Linked DNA regions of Neurospora crassa OR74A. The protein of the gene in region 1 interacts with the protein of each later gene in a biochemical or structural test. Links are inferred from orthologs where the notes say so. Each region holds a gene or a part of one and is shown in the gene's direction. Other genes may lie near its edges. The genes, in order: prk-10, aod-2, NCU08811 and NCU03732.

Region 1 (4,651 bases):
TGGAATCTTCCCTTTGCTCTGCTCGTCGTGTTCTTCCTGGCGGGAACGCGGGTAACGCATGTAAGTCTGATGAAGCTCTACCCAGGGGCGGCACAAGTTAGGCGTGGACTTTGACAGCTAATATCGACATCTTTCCCCGGCTAGGTAAAGGAAAACGTCAAGGCCAAGCTCACAGTACACTCCAAGGGCACGTCCGGCGGCGAGGGCCCGAGAAATCACACCCAAGTGTTCGCCAACTCGCTCACGGCTTCCATCTTCTCTCTGCTCCACGCTTATCAGCTGCATGTGCGCAAGCAGACGCTGATCGCTAATCCCACCAGCACAGGGACCGGTAGCCTTTGCTTCTCCTGGGGCGGCGACTTGTTGGTGATTGGTATCATTGCCAATTATGCCTGTGTTGCGGCCGACACCTTTAGCTCCGAGCTGGGCATTCTGTCCAAGGGCGAGCCGCGCCTAATCACAAGCTGGAACTTGCGCAAGGTACCGCGTGGCACCAACGGCGGCGTTTCCCTCGTCGGTCTTGGCGCTGGCCTGTTGGGCAGCATGATCATCGTTACGGCGTCCATGCTTCTTCTGCCTCTTTGCACTGACGAGACGGCTACGAGACTTGGCGGTGCCGCGGGCTGGTCACTGGGACAGCGCCGCATGCTGATTCTCGGTCTCACGGTCTGGGGTTTTTTGGGCAGCGTTGTGGACAGCATTTTGGGCGGGCTCTTCCAGGCCAGTGTCAAGGATGTGCGTACGGGCAAGATTGTGGAGGGCGAGGGTGGCGTGAGGGTACTGGTTACCAACGCTACGAACCCCAACAACGTTGCCGGTCGGACTAAGGCTGAGATTAAGTCGTCTCTTCTGTCTGGCGAGGGGACGGATGCGGTGGAGGATGTCGGCGCCGCTGCCGGTAACAAGTACGATTCGCGCAACAAGCAGCGGAGGTCGAGCTTTGGAGACGAGAGGCCGTCGCGAGTGGTGGAGAACGGCTGGGACCTGCTTGATAACAATGATGTCAACTTCTTGATGGCATTCGGCATGAGCGTGGGAGCGATGGCCGTCGCATCATGGTATTGGGGAGTTCCTCTGCAGTCTGTGTTGTCGCCATGGTGGGCATAAGGCAGTCGCAGGTGGGTGGTGAATGACTTTCGCTAGAGATGTTGGCTAGCTAAACAATTCCATGGATGACATATGAGAGCTCAGTCGTCATTTTGATTACACATTCAGATCACGGCTTTGGGTGAAGCTTGGGCAGGTACCTTGCTCGCTATCCGGATGATGCTAACCAAAAGCCGGCGCGATTGACCATTGAGGTTCTCATTGTACCAAACATCCACAATTCAAGACCAGCGATCCGTACATGGGATCGAAGACCAGCCTGGCTTACAATTGAATCCTTTGGTATTCTATACACGAGAACGTTGTATACCTAGTCTTTGTAATTTCGACTTGCTACCATTTTGGGCCATAATGTGTGGTAGACACGTATAGGCGTACACAGGGCTTTTATCGGCCTTGTGACAATGGTCCTGTGACCGAGCCGGATGACCTCCCCTCGGCCAGCCAGGCGGTAGTAACGAAACATGAAGTAGGTACAGTAGCTGATGAATGATGGAACTTTCCGTCCGGCTCGGCAGCCCCGTTGTACCTAAGTTAAGGTGGCCGCTTTCCGGAGCGCTCTGACCCCGCGATGCTGCCGTTTGTCGTCCCTGCATCCTTCCAACTCCTCCACTAATTCCCCCATTCTTCACCCCAGATCCCCGCCCGACTCCTTCCACCCCGTTTTCCATTACACCATCTCTGGATTGTTGCCCCGCTGCAGTGTTCGCTTGTCCACTTCCTCCTATGGAACCTAACAGCTCCAACACCCACTTGATTGCCCGCTGCGCTGCCCGTCCACCGCGATTGCTGATTCTTGTCGGCTGACAACCGAACACCGACCGAATGCGCATCCGATACATGATGTTCTCCTGAACAAAGCAAGGCGGTACCTTACATCGACCGACGACGCTACAACACAGACAGCCCACCGAGCCTTGACTTGACGTCCCTAGCTTCATTAGCTCCAACCTCTTGGGTCTGTTCGCTCCCGCTCCCAGGATTCAATCGAGGGACCATCGCGGTTCCTCCATTGCCCATTCACCCTCTTCACCAGCCAGTCGGACGACATCTGGTCAGACGAAACGAACGACCTTCCATCCGCGATTCAGTGTCGTCCACTTGTGTTGCAAGCGACTCCGTCTGCCATGGCACAGGCCTACGATGACGAGGAGCTTTCCATCTCCTTGTCTCCTTCTCAGATCCGAAGTCGCAATAAGCGATCCGGCGATGGCGCATCAGGCTTCGGCCCCAGTACCGGCAACCTCCACGAATACGGTCAACACGGTCAGCAATTACACCCTAATATCAACGCCGTCATGGCCGACGCACCCCTCCGCGACAAGATGCGCACCGAGCAGCGCATCGGTGCCTATAACATTGTCAAGACGCTCGGCGAAGGCAGCTTCGGAAAGGTCAAGCTGGCTGTCCATCGCATGACCGGCCAGCAGGTCGCTCTCAAGATCATCGCCCGCAAGAAGCTCATCAGCCGCGACATGCAAGGTCGCGTAGAGCGCGAGATTGAGTATCTTCAATTGCTAAGGCATCCCCATATCATCAAGCTGTAAGGCACCCCTCGACGCCCATGCGCAGCAGACGTTGGCTCTGGTCCTTTACGTACACGTTGGCTAACCCGGCGCGCATACCAGGTACACCGTTATCAAAACACCAACCGAGATCATCATGGTGCTAGAGTATGCCGGCGGCGAATTGTTCGATTACATTGTTCAACATGGAAAGATGAAGGAGGACGAAGCCCGCCGCTTCTTTCAGCAGATGCTATGCGCCGTCGAATACTGTCATCGTCACAAGATCGTTCATCGCGACCTAAAGCCCGAAAACCTCTTGCTGGACGATAATCTCAATGTCAAAATTGCCGATTTTGGTCTTAGCAATATCATGACCGACGGTAATTTCCTCAAGACCAGCTGCGGCTCTCCCAATTACGCGGCTCCCGAGGTCATTGGCGGCAAGCTTTACGCAGGACCCGAAGTCGATGTCTGGAGTTGCGGTGTCATTCTTTACGTCCTACTCGTCGGGCGCCTCCCTTTCGACGACGAGCATATCCCCAGTCTTTTTGCCAAAATTGCGCGTGGAAGCTACATGGTGCCGACCTGGATGAGTCCCGGCGCGGCGTCACTAATCAAGAAGATGTTGGTTGTCAACCCTGTTCAACGTGCCACAATTGACGAAATCCGCCAGGACCCGTGGTTCCTCAAGGATCTGCCGGCTTACCTTCACCCTCCTGTTGAGGAGTTCCTCAATACTGGCGTGGACCCCAACAAGGCCATCAAGGTTAGCGACATTGCGCCAAATGCCCCTCCGCAGGAACAGGAGAAGTTGCATAATGAGGTCACGGAGAAGATCAGTAAAACCATGGGCTACGGCAAGAGAGATGTCGAAGAGGCCTTGGAGGCCGATGAACCCTCGGCCATCAAAGATGCCTACATGATCGTGCGTGAGAACAAGCTGATGCAGAGTAACCGTGAGTCTACGCTCCCTCCCAGCAAGTCTTTTGTCTTCTCATCATTGGAACCTATCGATCCCTTTGCGATGCTATACTCGTCCGTTTTGTCCTTCTTTCGCAGTTGATTTTGCCACGTCCCATCCTCCTTCGGCGTCCATTTTACACTTGCCTAGTGGTGAACATCGCTTGACGCAAAAAAAAAGCAAATCCTTGAGTTTGCGACCATCGTCCTTTTGGAGCAACACCAATGAGGAATACCAGGATACCCTACTAAAAACCGATGAAGAAATTCCAGGCCTCACGACAGAGGAGTCTGTCCCGAGTCCGCTCCATGACCCGAATATGTCATCAGCTCGCTCGATCGCATCCGTTAGCACAGCAACTTCACCGCGGCCATATGTCAGCAAGATCGGTATTTTGCCTAGCAGTCTTCCTACCTACCACAGGGTCTTTATGGAGCGAGAGAAGGCCAAGGCCGAAGGTCTTGAGCCCCCTGATGCCATCCCCACCATCGTTGAGCCGGCAAATCAGCCGCGCAGCCAAGCTGAACAAGAAGAGACTATCCGAAGACTCAAGCCACATTCGAGGAGTCAACTTCGCCTTGACGAGGCCAACAAGCGCCCACAAGGACTTACCCCCGTCCACCCGCCCAAGAAGAACAAGCCTGCTCGATGGCAATTTGGTATTCGATCCCGGAACGCTCCTTGGGAGGCGCTGGTGTGTATTTACAAGGCGCTAAACAAGCTTGGCGCTGGGTGGATTGTCGATGAAGACTACGAAAGAGCCCACCGGGACGATGACGACACTGATGACTATGATGGGCCTAGTATCGGGTCCCGCAAGAAGTCATCATCCAGCATGGATCCCACCAAGACATATAGACTTCCTGCGGACCCCTGGCATATCAAGATTCGGTGGACAACTGATAGTGAGTTTCCGGTCTGTCCGGCCCAAATGGCAAAGTTTGGCTAACATTGGCTGTCAGAGCTCAAAAAGCATTCGGTTGCCTCCGGCCTCAGCGAAGCAGGAGAGAACACGCATGTTAGCCGGGATGGCAGCGACAGCAAATACCAGGTTGTGGCCATGCGTATGGAGATT
Region 2 (4,592 bases), on another chromosome or scaffold:
CAAACTTCCAAGCGGCCATGCAACGGATCAGACTTGTTGCCCTTGCTGAGACACAAGATTCGAATACTGTCGGACGCGACTAGATTGTCTTCTCGTGGATTTAGTGACGACGGGTTTATGGCCCCTTGTCTTGGCCCTTGGCCTGAAGACAATGGTTCGCAAGAAGAAACTCCATCTTTTGCTTTCATGCTTGAGGGCCGCTCGCTGGATGGCCTGCTCGTCTTGTCGTCCCATGGTTCGGTACCGAGAATCTCTGCAAGCTGTGATGAGATATCGCAACCATTGGAGTCGTAGCAATGAGTCTCGTAGTCAACAGAAGCTGGCCAGTGCAGTGATAGAGCCTTTGTCTCGTCATGATAAAGCACTGATGGGTTTGACGGGACCTGACTGGCTGACAGGTCGTCCAAAGGCGCCAACGAATCGCAACTCATGCAGAAGGGTATGCCTCCGTCAACCAGATAGACATCTGGTCGACCACACGTTTCTCGATGCCAGGAGATCATATTTGGCTGACAATTGAGTTTATTGCCCCCAAAGCTGGGATGAGTTGTGGAGTACACGATGGACACGACAGGAAGTTGAGGATCTCGAATCTGGGAAGTGAATGTCAGGATGTCAAACTGAGTGATAATGATGGGGTTTCAGCCCCCTTATGACCAGGCGATAGGCCATTAGTCGGGACGAAGATAGCCATCTCGTAGTAGAAGTCTCAGAGGTAGGTTCACTTGGTTGCGGTCAACAGACTTCCCCGCTCTAGACCTATTGCATCAATTAGGCTCACGATTCCTTACTGCCTGCTGTGAAACAAAACGGCCCTTATTGGCTGCTCTGGCTAGTTAGACACAGCCTGGTAAAGATCGCCCGCCTGTTGGATCTCTGCAGGGAAATCGGAGCAAGACTCATGCGCTTCAGTTCTCTTGGAAGATCAAGAACTTGAACCCATCTGCATTTTGAGTCAACAGAGTGCTGCGCATGACTTCATGTCGTTATATGTGCTCCTGCAACGTTGGAGTTGTTATTCAGGCATATAGATCAAATAGGTAAACCCAACACGAATATGATGGTCGGCAGAAGAGTCACATGTAAAGACTGAACATGGAGTAGGTACGTATGTGCACTAAAATGCCGACAAATCGTGGACAAGTTAGCATGGGATATTATGTAAGTCATAGCATTGGCCTCGGTTTTGATTGGAGGCTCCCGAAAGGGAAAGAGGACGCATGATCACAAGGGCACTGAACTTTTTGTTCTTGGTTGTTTTTGGTTCCCTTTTGAGTTCCAGATTGATTTGGTCCTCACTCTTCATTTACCACAGTGACCACAAGGATACCTTTGAGTGATGGCTTGGTGATATTATCGGTACATGTAAAACACCGGTCTATAGTTCAGCATTCAACATCGACATCTCGAAATTCATCAGCTGGCGAATCCAGGCTTCAGGACCCCACTTGCTGTTTTCGACTTGAAGGTGTGCAAGGAAAGTTACAGCGGGTTACACACTGTGGCCAGCCCTGCAGCAAGGCACCTGTGGGTGTCCATCCCCTCCTGTCCAGCGGTCCTGGCGAATGAGGGCGGGCGGACAAGAGGAACCCCTGCCGTTCTTGGTGTCCCGGTCTGGCCGTCTGTTGCATCCTTCAGGTTCCATTACATGGGAGACGCCGCATGCAATTGAGCTTGCGCGACAGTGGAGGCCAATGAGGCTCCCTCGGTGCCGGCAAACAAAAAGTATCGATTACGGAACTTTGACAAGAGAGCCATTTTCCCGAGACGAACCGCCAGAATCCTGCCGTACTGCTGCCGCCAGTCGACGACCATTGCCGTCTTGAATCAATGTTCATCGCAGTCGCATGACCGAGCCCGTAACCACTTGCGAACGACGCAGTCACGGACCATAACCACAAAGGAACGCGACCGCTACCTACCTATACACTTGAGACTTGGACGAAAGGTGACGAGCCGAGGCAACCGTAACGAAACGAGCTTACCAACCGACCGGGGAACCCGAGCAGAACACCAAGGAAAGAACAATACCGGAGGAAACATCCGCCAAACGTCAACAACGCCCGAGGTTGTTAAAAGAGAAGATTCATATTTAAGGGAAAGAGGTGTAAGAACAACCACAACAAAGGCTGGCTCGGAATCAACGTTAAACTGCCACCATCCCCCTGCGAGGAGCCGCCGGCCTGGCTTTAGATGAGCAGTGAACTCAACGGCCGTTGCGTAACCACCAGATCCAATGGGAGCCTCTACACTCGATAAGCAATGACGGGAACAGAAGCCACGGAAAAGCCCAACGGCAAAGAGGCGGGAACCAAGGACATCACCAAGTCCGGAAGCGACACCAAGCCCAAGGATCACCATCCCACGCCCGCTGACGATGTGCAAAAGGCGCCCAAGAAGCGCCGCAAGGTCAATCATGGTACTTTTTCCGCTGTCTTCCTGCCTACATCACTTGACCGCTCTTCTCCAGCTTGCTAACTTTGTCTGGTGCGCCTGTTGTAGCCTGCCTTTACTGCCGCCGATCTGTAAGTCGACCAGAATGCACCGCCGACACCCCATCTCCTGCCGTGCTAGTTACCCAGGCTTCGTACATGGGCTACCGTAACTGCCATAGTACGGAGTCCTGCAGAAGACCCCGCTCGGTCTCGATATACACACAGACTTTACTAGTTATCCTGGTGGCTGACCATGTTGTTTTGGCTGCCTTAGCACATGACGTGTGATCTTGTATGTATTCCTCCCCCCTTCGCCAAGGTGGAGCTCTAGCTAACGAATTTTTCGTTACCATTCATAGGAGAGACCTTGTACAAGATGCATCAAGCGAAACATCGGCCATCTCTGCCACGATGAGCCTCGCGATACCGAGTCGCGCAAGGCCAAGAGCGTGCTTGGGACTTCGACCCTACATGACTCCGAGTCCCAGCCGGACATTGGGCGCAACGCTACAGACAAGGCCATGAGACCACCCGGTTTTGATAGCGGTATGGGCAATGGATCTGTCCAGGTAGCAGGTGCTGCAGCGGTAGGCCGGGGCGCTCCTCTCCAGCTCGTGCAACCAGGTTCTGTTGCTGGTATACAAGCCAGCGCCCTTGGCGGTAGCATGAATCAATGTGAGTGTTGGCGCTGGATCCTCCTTTTGCCTTTCTCCACTATGGTCAGTCAGTTGCTGAAATTGCCCAACATAGTTGCCGGACTTCCGGATTCTTGGTTAACCACTCAAAACCACTATCACGACATGCACAACTTCCATCCAAACTACATGGTGGCACCAGAGGTTACGAATGAATTCAATCTATTGAACGAATTCTTGTCGGCAGGCTTGCTCGAGGAGTCGGCCTTCATGTCTGATGATCATGGCCTAATATTGGGGGCCAACCAGTCTGCGGTGTCGGGATTGCCAAATGCCAATAACAACGGCAACAATGCTAGCAGTAACAACAAGGGAAACAGTAGCAGCACCAGCGGCATGCTCCCCCCAAGTGCCACACAGGGGACCTCGATGCTACCACCAAGTAGCGACCAAACAACGGCGATAGGGAAGCCCGCGAGTACAAACTTGGATAATGCCCGGGATGCATACTATCTTCAAGCGGCAGATCCGTCCGGAAACGACACACCGGAGGAACGCATGCAGCGCTTGCTACGAGCCAAGTACGAAGCCGGACTATTAAAGCCGTTCAACTACATCCTTGGCTATAAGAGGCTATCGGATTACCTGGATGGACACGTGTCGCCGACGTCAAAACAAAAGATTCTAAAGCAGATCGACCGATTTCGACCCAAGTTCCGCGAGAAGATACAATTGTTGACTGATATGGACCTGCTGATGGTGGAAATGTGGTTCGAGAGGACGCTGTTGGAGTACGACCGAGTTTTTGCCAGTATGGCCGTTCCAGCCTGCTGCTGGAGACGAACCGGACAGATTTTCAGGGGAAACAAAGAGATGGCGGAGCTCATAGGCGTGCCAGTAGAGAGTTTACGAGGGGTAAGAGACACAGCACCAATGCGCCGACGTGGAATATTAGCTATGATGCTGACTTTGGTTTTGCTTAGGGTCAAATCGCCCTGCATGAGATCCTGACGGAAGAGTCGAACGTGAGATACTGGGAAGAATTCGGCACAATAGCATTCGACCCGGCTCACGATACCCTGATCACAGCGTGTTCACTCAAGAACCCCAACGATGACAAGGGGACCAAAGTTGTGAACTGTTGCTTTTCTTTCAGGATCCGTAGGGACGATCACAAGATGTAAGTGTCTTTTGTTTTTCACGGATCCCCTGTGTTTGTTACAGGCAAAGTGGTATGGTGGTGAGGCTAACAGGTACATGTAGTCCGAGCTTGATTGTTGGCAACTTCCTCCCACACGACCCATGACAGTGTTTAGTATACACTCTGCCACAACATATATTTCCCAAATCAGTGCTCCTGTGATCCGCAATGCGGATGAACAATGCGACACTTGTTTCCCATGAGCAGCAATTGCTAGCTTTGGTCGGATAAGAAGCGCGGTGAACAGTACATGGGTTTGCGACAATCCATCAGAACTACCTAATTAGCGTTACTGGTATGGCCATGCTCGATACGGGACTT
Region 3 (4,471 bases), on another chromosome or scaffold:
CCAGCAGCCTTGAACAATATTCATACAAGCGAATGGAAGCCTTTCAGTTCCACTTGACACCCAAGAACTTGAACTCCTTGTTGCCACCCTTCTTAGCAGCCGCCACTTCTGCCTCCTTATTCTCCAAGTAAATTCTCTGATGTCCCCTCACATCCACGTAAAAGGTCTGGTACTCATGCTCCCAGTGACCTGGTTGCTTGGTCAGATGCAGCCCGACGACACCAGAACCTCTTGGTCCTTCGACCTGTTTTTCTTGGTGTTAGCCCCATCATCACAACAAATTTTTAACAAAACAGGGGAAAGAAAAAGAAGAAGAAGAAGTAAAACGAACATGGAAATGCATCTTTAGATGCTCCACACCCCTATTATCCTTCTCGACCGTTGCCGCGATCGGCCGCGCCCGGCGCCACTTGTTGTGTGTCTCTTCGCCGTGAGCAGCAATCTTCTTTGGGTCGCCGGGCGAAAGAAGGGCGACGCAGCGAGGGTCGGCACGGATCCGGTCAACGGCTCGGTTGAAGTAGGCGGTTTTGGACTCTGGGGAGAACACGTCGGTGAAGAGTAGGTAGGCAATTCCTCCCTGTGTGGTAGAGTTAGTACTACACACAACACACCGGAGTGAGCGATGAATTGGGAAGAAGAAAGCGTACGGTCAAAACCACACCCAAAATCACCAGACCAAAGTTGAACGTTTGCTGGACGGCGCGCCCGGCTTTTTCACCGGTGGAGAGCCGAGTCCAGGGCACATGGCCATCATCATTGAAGGGCGTTACGGATCTCCTCTTGGAACTTTCTTGCGTAGTCGCATATTGCCGGCGCGATGAGACGAGAATGACGCTAGCTGCTGTCGGAGGAAGAGCTCTCGAAGCTGCTGTGGTAATGGTTGCTTGTTGACGGACCACGGCGGGGCTCAGAAGAAGCCTCACACCCGCCGAAGTACCTGTGAGCATTTTCATCATGGAGGCTTCAACACAACACCCATATTTCAACGGCAATGTTTCAGCCGTTTGCGATTGTTATGAGAGCTTCAATGAGAATGAGAGGTCCGAACGAAGCTGTGATGAGCTGCGGTTGGATGAAGCTTTGGAACCGTTTGCCGGCACGGCATCTTTCCCGGCAGAGGAGGTCCGTCCGGCGAGGGGTGGAGTCGGGTTCGTGTTGCGCTCCACTAGGTAGAGACGGGACTGTGTGCCAAGGCGCCAAGATGCCACATGGAAGGGCGAACCTCCATGAGCAAGTGGAAGCGTCTGATTCTTGGCTGGGGAACACAAAGAAATGTGGCCCAACGTTCCAGTGGACGTTCCAATACCATACAGGTACGTAGGTAGGTTGCCAGGCAGCCCGGCTCTCTCCGCTGGGGCTCCCCCCCCGTCTCCTGAATTAACTGCGAGCGAATGACAACACTTGAAAGATTGACAACTTGTAACAAGCCCGAAAACCTACAGCGCCGCCTTGTTTGACTTCTCTCCCTCTTCTGCCCCCTTTTTCACCTTCCCCCCCCTGACGGCAGCACCGACCTACCGACCCTGACAACCTAACCGAGCAAAGGGGTCATCAACAACGACAGTCGAGATCTAGTGACACATCACAACCCTGGCAAAGGACAGACATACCTAATCCGAACCATCACCGGACTGCCGACCGACAAGATGAGCGGTCTCGCGACAAAGCAGCAGTCGCTCAAGCTTTTTGAGAAGCTCAAGGCGAAGCCAGCCAACAAGGTATGTGCCCACGCGAGCAGCGATCGACCCTAGACATCCAGAAAGCTAACTGCTGCCTCCCTTCCCGCGAACAACAGATCTGCTTCGACTGCGGCCAAAAGAACCCAACATGGACCTCGGTCCCCTTTGGCATCTACCTCTGCCTCGATTGCTCGGCCAACCACCGCAACCTCGGCGTTCACATTTCCTTTGTGCGGTCTACTAACCTCGACCGTATGTGCCCTCTCGATCTTTACTCCACGACGCGACACCTCGCCCGCTAACGCGAACCTTGTTCTTGTACAGAATGGCAATGGGACCAGCTACGGATCATGAAGGTGGGCGGCAATGAGTCGGCAACCAAGTTCTTTCAGCAAAACGGTGGTTCCGCCGCCTTGAACAGCAAGGACCCCAAGACCAAGTACCAATCTGCTGCCGCGACCAAGTACAAGGAGGAGCTCAAGAAGAGGGCTGCTAGGGACGCCCGCGAGTATGCAATGCCCCTACCCCTCATTTACACAAACCTGTTTTATTCCACGTTACATGAAATGCAATGCTGACGCGCTGTTTACCTCCCACCCAGATACCCCGAAGAAGTTGTCATCACCGACGGTGACGATGCCACAAGCAGCAACACCCCGGCCGGCGAGCCCGACGACGACTTCTTTTCCTCGTGGGACAAGCCCGCCATCAAGAAGCCCACGCCACCCATTTCCCGCACTTCCACACCCCCCGTCATCGGCCGCACCGCCTCCCCGCTCCTCGGCAACGGCAAGGACATCCAGCGCACTTCCTCGCCGCTCTCCAAGACCGATTCCGATGCTCCCACTCCCGCCCCCGCCGCCAGCCGCATCACCACCTCCGCGGCCCTAAGGAAAACCACCCCCGGCAGCAGCACCACCGGCGGCCCGCGCAAGGTGGGCGGCGGCATCCTAGGCGCCAAGAAGCCCGCGGCTAAGCTGGGCGTCAAGAAGATTTCGGCGGACCTGATCGATTTCGACGAGGCGGAGAAGAAGGCCAAGGAGGAGGCGGAGCGCATCGAGAAGCTGGGTTACGATCCCGAGGCGGAGGAGGAGAAGGCGGCGAAGAAGGCCGAGACCAAGACCAATAATATCATCACCCCTGCTGCGGCGCCAGTCAGCTCCTCCAGTTCGCGGTCGGCGGCGCAGGAGAAGTCGGCTGCTGAGGTGGAGAGGCTAGGTATGGGTGTCAGGAAGCTGGGTTTCGGTATGGTGGGCAAGCCCGGTGGTGCTGGTGCTGCGGCGGGCGCGGGAGGAGCGGCGGCGGCGAAGAAGAATGCGGGTGGGTTTGGAAGTGTTGGGCCTATTAAGGCTAGTGAGGGTATGTTTTTTTTTTCCCTCCTTTCCCTTTCTTTTTTTTTCTTTTTCTTACGCAATACTAACCAACATCGATACGAAACAGCCGACGAAGAACAATACGCCCGCAACAAGTTCGCCAACCAAAAGGCCATCTCTTCGGACGAGTTTTTCAACAAGGGCAACTACGACCCCTCGGTCAAGGCCGAGACCAAGGCCCGTCTACAAGGCTTCGAGGGTGCCCAGGCCATCTCTTCCAATGCCTACTTTGGTCGTCCCGAGGACGACGCGCCCGCCGAAGACTACGGCGACCTCGAGTCTGCCGCCAAGGACTTCATTCGCAAGTTTGGCATCACTGCCAGCGATGATCTGGAGAACCTTACGCAGATGGTGGGTGAGGGTGCCGGGAGGTTGCAGGGTGCTATCAGGGCTTATCTTGGGAGCTGAGCGGTGGAAATGGAAGAATGAGGCAGCAGTGTGGGTGGGCAGCTGGACGTGATGGGCGAAGGGAATTACCTAGTTATGAGACAGAAAGATGTGGACGAGCGGGTAAGGCTTCCTTTTAGTAAAAATTAGTATTTGTAGTGTAATGGTGAATGAATGTTTTATGGTAGAGAGCACTAGTAGTCTGGGCAGATGATGCGGGTTTCTGATATCTAACGAAGAGGATGACGGCCAGGATCTGGATGAGCTGTTCTCACATCCGTGGCGTAGGGGGATCTTGGTAAGTGACCACGGGAAGTATTCAAGCAACAAGAAAGAGATATGATGGTGTTCTATAGCGTACGGTTTTTCGATTACGGTGGCAGTCGAGGTTGACAGGGAGAGATCGTGATGTTGATCAGGGTTTCAGCGAGATTTTTGCTAATAACTGACTCGCGCAACCATAATAGAAGCTACTGATATAGGGCCTACCTTCAGCGTAATTCTATCAATAACAACAGCTGGTCCGATGGTGTAGTTGGTTATCACGTCAGTCTAACACACTGAAGGTCCCCAGATCGAGCCTGGGTCGGATCATGAACCAAACTTTCTTTTTTTGCGATTGTTTTTGTTTTTTTATTGACCTAATGTTCTCGGCCCCCTTTTTTTTTTTTTTTTTTTTTTTTTTTTCCCTTTCCTGCAGGAGGAGGGAGAAGGGGGGGGGGGGGGGGGGGGGGAAGAATCGTCAGTCGCGCAGTGGTCACTTGCACTTTACCACTTGGTCCATGCTGTGCAGTCCACAATCCTCGTTGAAGTCTTTGCAAATAAAGACCTCTAGATGATGTGCCCTGCTTTCGGATTTACAATACGGTGTTTCTGAGGCGCAAGCAAGACCGAATGTCATTGCCATGCAAACGGTGGAGATATCCATAGGGAAGGTCACGATGGAAACCCTAGGGTTTTGCTTAGACCGAGCTGAAGTAAGGTGTTATGTTATTTATGGCTCTGATCTGGGCGGCATTGCCTGGAAATGGG
Region 4 (4,470 bases), about 580 kb from region 1:
GGGCACGACAAGCATCTGGCGCCCGCCAAGTTCACTCAGCCGCGGGCAGTGGTCAGGAATCCGAGCAGCTTCATTGACTATCAGGATTGCAAATTCCTGGGTCGTTACGAGCTTTACGAGACCCGGCCAGTGATGTTATGCTCTGGCGTTGCAGACTTGGCGAACACGAGAATCGGCGGTATCGCGATAGTGGACATGGAAACTATGGTTCCTTTACACGAGGTTCCTGTGACCTTGGTGTCGGAACATGGTGCTGCAATGACCAAGAATCCAATGGATGTGGCTGTCGTGGACGGTAAGATGAGGCTGTTCTTCCTGCCCGATGAAAGGAATTCGACTCTCTATGTGTACGAAGCGGTTTGAGTTAGGACATACCGAGCAACGTGGATTATTCTTCTCGGTGTTTGTTTTGGCGTGTTTTTGCACCTTTTTTTTTTTTTTTTTTTTGCCTTCGTCAGGGGTCATCAGAGCAGGTCAACCGGGCTTATTTGGAAAGTCATGACAGTAGGCCTCAGGTCTAACTTGTTCTAGATCTGCTCTGTACCGTCGTGATTCGAGAAATAGAGTCCCGCTTTGCTTCTCCTTGGTGGTTGATGACACATATTTGACGAACTAGTTTAATCCTTCATATGGAGAAGTTCTTGAAGACATGCTTTGACTTTGATCTGCTCCTGACTACAAGTTCTATGGTGAGCTATCCAGGCCTCATTTGTGTGGAGTTGTCGCGGATTTTCCTTATCATGGGGCTGTCATTAAAAGATCGAGTGCGGCCGTTGCTTGCTGTTGGCTTCCATGAGGTTGTGCAACCTTCTTCGTTGCCTTGTAATAAGGCACAATGTAAGGATGATTGATTGGAATCGCGATCATGATTTACGGCAATCCATCCTGTTTCATCGATGCGAGTGAGTACCAGAAGAATGGGATTGCGGGCGAATGGGTATACTGGTATGACGAACTGAGCTGGATCTAACTTTCAAATATCTGGTGATGTGCAGCCCATCGAAGGTGCTGGGTGATGATGTTCATCTTTGATAGGTGCTCCGGACGCGTCCCAACCGCTCAGCAGACTGCTAGCACAGTTTCGCTGAGGTCAAGCGAAGGTCAACTACTTAATGGAGCTTCCCTTCCTGCTAGCTGGCTTGGCGGCCCGCATCAGTTAGTGGGGACTTGGCCTGGACTTACATTGTTAGTATTACTCTTTCCCTGCAGCAGCAAACTGCTCGGGGACATGAAGATTACTAACAGGCGCTACTTTTAGCATGTACCCACTACGCGAGCCCTGCGTCACTATCTCCAGGTCTTGGAAGCCGATAGGCTCACGGTCGAAGGTTCTACAACCTCCTGTTCCTGCTACACACGCCCTTCGCCAAGGCATTTTATGGCCTTGTCCCTCCCTCTTCCACCAAGTGATAGCTTCCTCTCCGACTCTGTGTTGCATCTCAATTCTGTTCAATATCTGAAATCCCTACTCTTGCATTGCGAATTTGCTCTCGCGCATTCCATCAAGATCGACTTTGACAGGCGCTTTACGAGCCATCCAAAGGACCCACGAGCGCTATAGAATCGCTAACGTCTAATACGCATCTGTCATCGCTACCTCACTCTACCTTAATTACCCTACCCGTACCACTACAACAACACAGAACACGTCGGGTTAATTGTTCTCCCTTGCACCTAACGACCGCCGAGACACTTCGCGGCTCTGATCAAGCTTCGCGAAACAGCCTCTACATTTTTACTAGACTCACATACACTACACTCGTCTCTAATATTGCGTCACAAAGATGGTCAAGGAAACGAAGCTCTACGACCTGCTAGGGATCAGCCCTACGGCTACCCAGGACGAGATCAAGAAAGCCTACAGGTGAGCATATCTCCAACCCGAAACCCCACATAACTGCTCTCGCATCTCGCAGTATAAGATCGAGGGAGAGATCTCCTCTTTCCTACGCCATCCTTCTTTCACTTTGGCATTCACATCATCCTCTCTTACAGCCTTCAGTGGACCCCTGCTGACCCCTCACCAGGAAAGCCGCCCTAAAATGGCACCCCGACAAGAACAAGGACAACCCGGAGGCTGCCGAAAAATTCAAGGAGTGCTCTCAGGCGTATGAAATCCTTTCGGATCCCGAGAAACGCAAGATGTACGATCAGTTCGGCCTTGAATTTATCCTGAGAGGCGGCCCGCCCCCGACTGAGGGCGGCGCAAACCCATTTGCCGGAGCTGGTGGCATGCCCGAGGGCTTTGCTTCTTTCTTTGGAGGAGGAGGCATGCCTGGTGGCGGAGGAGGTGCGAGAACATTTTCCTATGGATTCAATTTTACCAACCCCGAGGACCTCTTCCGGGATGCTTTCCGGGATGAAAAGATGGGCGGCGGCATGGGTGGTGGCATGGGTGGTGGCATGGGCGGAATGGGTTTTGAAGACATCCTCTTTAATGCTGCGCGTGGTGGTGCAGGACAGCGCCGAACTGCGAGAAACCCCTTCGGCGGCGCCGACAACATGCGCAGCGCCCGCCAAGCAACACCCGAAGTCACGACAGTTGAACGCCCCTTACCCGTATCCCTTGAGGATCTGTTCCACGGCACGACGAAGAAAATGAAGATCAAGCGCAAGACCTTTGACGAGACCGGTAAGCGCACGACGAGCGATACCGTCTTGGAGGTACCAATCAAGCCCGGCCTCAAGAAGGGTAGCAAAATCCGGTTCAAGGGTGTTGGTGATCAAGAAGAGGGTGGCCAGCAGGATTTGGTGTTCGTCGTCGAAGAGGTACGTATAAACTCCCTTCCCTTTCTTCACGCATTGCCTTTTTGAAGGAATGGCCAGCTGACAATGTGGTTTTAGAAACCACATCCGCTTTTCACTCGGGACGGCAACGACCTAATTCATACTATCGACTTAGACCTCAAGGAGGCATTGACAGGGTGGAAGAGAACCATCACGACGATCGACGGCAAGAGCATTAACATTGAGAAGGCCGGCCCGACACAACCTGGGAGCCAAGATGTATATCCGGGCCTGGGCATGCCCATCTCGAAGCAACCAGGCCAACGGGGCAACCTCATCGTCAAGTATAATGTCAAGTTCCCCACCAGCTTGACGCCTGAACAAAAGGAAAAACTGAAGGAAATCCTCTAAATGGGGTCAAGCGATGAGTATCGGTTCTCTGTGGTAGTTCACTCTCGGATACCTTTGTCCTTCTTGTCGCCTCAACAGGAAGGGACCAGCAGTCTTGGATTGGCCTGAAGAACAGCTTTTAACGCCGGCCTTTGACAACATTCGGGAACCTGTTCGGATCCACCCCCTTGAGTGTATGTAGAATGGTGGGCGTGTTGGATTTGTTTTTTACCCGGGGGGCATTTGCTTTGGTCTCTGTCCGCCATGTGCGGTTCTTGACCATGGTCCACCATATTTGGGCGTTACTGGATTTGTTTCTTCTTTTGGTGCTCAGCTTTCATCGCGTCAGGCTCGCATTGAGATTGGTATTGTTGGTTTAGGCGGCATGTGTGGTGGGAGCTGATGATGACAATTTTCATGATAATGAGTATCCCCGACAAAAGTTCTTAGGCCCCCTGTTGTGAATGTTGGGAGAGGAAAGGGCGCTGGTCTCTCTTAGCATGTTGCGTCCTCTCAAGGTTCAACAATAGCCAGAGACACGCGAGGCCAACGTCAATGGGAATACCATAGCAGGCTTAGATATCAAATGGCTATATCTTTTATAGAAGACGGCTTGGACTACTGCATCTCGGAATGGATTCAAGGTGACAATCCTCGGTCACCACCACCAAACGACACACACGAGGAGAAAATTGATCGTGACCATAGACTACCAAGCGGGGTGGCTAGAACCGATAGATGGACATAGTTACTACAGAATGAAAATCAATGTGCCCAGAAAATCTCTCCCTTTCTCGACTTGACCTTGGAGAGAAACCATAACTTGCTGAAAGACGACGCGGAGCGACATGTGGGAATATGTGCAAGTTCCAGCTACAACAAGTTGGCCAAATAAACACACAGTCGTGTACGTATCTTAGGGGGGGAAGCCACGGCGGGGCCGAATCCAACTGCGAAGAACGATGATTCAACTTGTCCACTTTTCACTTCATCTTGGCTCTCATCACGGGATTTTTGAAAGTACAAACAAGAGGGACAACGACATTGTTAGGTCGGCCCGTCTACCTACCCAACAGCCATTCCAACACCCCGCCAAGCCAAGGATTACATATAACCGGCTGGCTGGTCGATCGGGAAACGCGGCATAATGGGAGAATGAGCGGAAGCGGAAGTGACCACTCGGTCTTACCTTTCCCGCGTTGTCGCTTACCTATACTGCTTTCTGTTTCATTTGTTTTTCTTTTTTTTCTTTTTGGGACTCGGATGGCTGTTCTACTGCTGACTTGATCATCATTTTGGTGCTGATCTCAATGGGGGGTCATGGAAGCATCTCTACGGTTAGATATTTTTGTT

What was found.
Region 2: of the proteins of prk-10 (region 1) and aod-2, one has a biochemical effect on the other in vitro, tested with the Saccharomyces cerevisiae proteins (3 studies listed by BioGRID, with this or other methods). The link is inferred for Neurospora crassa OR74A from reciprocal best matches to the Saccharomyces cerevisiae genes SNF1 and RDS2.
Region 3: of the proteins of prk-10 (region 1) and NCU08811, one has a biochemical effect on the other in vitro, tested with the Saccharomyces cerevisiae proteins (2 studies listed by BioGRID). The link is inferred for Neurospora crassa OR74A from reciprocal best matches to the Saccharomyces cerevisiae genes SNF1 and GLO3.
Region 4: the proteins of prk-10 (region 1) and NCU03732 form a complex in vitro, tested with the Saccharomyces cerevisiae proteins (2 studies listed by BioGRID, with this or other methods). The link is inferred for Neurospora crassa OR74A from reciprocal best matches to the Saccharomyces cerevisiae genes SNF1 and SIS1.

The regions. Positions count from the first base shown.
Region 1 is NC_026505.1:1,660,016-1,664,666, reverse strand, and holds the start of prk-10 (protein kinase SNF1), read left to right. Parts: upstream 1-1,754; 5' UTR 1,755-2,234; coding exon 2,235-2,650; intron 2,651-2,735; coding exon 2,736-3,571; intron 3,572-3,839; coding exon 3,840-4,481; intron 4,482-4,538; coding exon 4,539-4,651. Other genes in the region: NCU11040 (DUF92 domain-containing protein), read left to right, coding at 1-60, 145-1,107. UniProt on the Saccharomyces cerevisiae protein: Serine/threonine protein kinase essential for release from glucose repression.
Region 2 is NC_026502.1:1,002,568-1,007,159, forward strand, and holds the start of aod-2 (alternative oxidase-2), read left to right. Parts: upstream 1-1,704; 5' UTR 1,705-2,262; coding exon 2,263-2,419; intron 2,420-2,502; coding exon 2,503-2,525; intron 2,526-2,709; coding exon 2,710-2,727; intron 2,728-2,794; coding exon 2,795-3,110; intron 3,111-3,185; coding exon 3,186-3,985; intron 3,986-4,053; coding exon 4,054-4,250; intron 4,251-4,333; coding exon 4,334-4,376; 3' UTR 4,377-4,592. Other genes in the region: NCU03354 (hypothetical protein), read right to left, coding at 1-503. UniProt on the Saccharomyces cerevisiae protein: Transcription factor which regulates the expression of genes for gluconeogenesis, the TCA cycle, and glucose metabolism. Involved in the cell wall remodeling process and drug resistance.
Region 3 is NC_026504.1:5,157,591-5,162,061, reverse strand, and holds NCU08811 (arf GTPase-activating protein), read left to right. Parts: upstream 1-1,310; 5' UTR 1,311-1,646; coding exon 1,647-1,718; intron 1,719-1,795; coding exon 1,796-1,931; intron 1,932-2,003; coding exon 2,004-2,187; intron 2,188-2,280; coding exon 2,281-3,038; intron 3,039-3,119; coding exon 3,120-3,460; 3' UTR 3,461-3,785; downstream 3,786-4,471. Other genes in the region: NCU08810 (mitochondrial import inner membrane translocase subunit tim-21), read right to left, coding at 44-244, 332-577, 648-956. UniProt on the Saccharomyces cerevisiae protein: GTPase-activating protein for the ADP ribosylation factor (ARF) family. Involved in retrograde vesicular transport from the Golgi to the endoplasmic reticulum.
Region 4 is NC_026505.1:2,238,321-2,242,790, reverse strand, and holds NCU03732 (SIS1), read left to right. Parts: upstream 1-1,349; 5' UTR 1,350-1,784; coding exon 1,785-1,864; intron 1,865-2,027; coding exon 2,028-2,769; intron 2,770-2,844; coding exon 2,845-3,138; 3' UTR 3,139-3,897; downstream 3,898-4,470. Other genes in the region: NCU03733 (hypothetical protein), read left to right, coding at 1-363. UniProt on the Saccharomyces cerevisiae protein: Required for nuclear migration during mitosis. It is required for the normal initiation of translation. Might mediate the dissociation of a specific protein complex of the translation machinery. Essential for viability.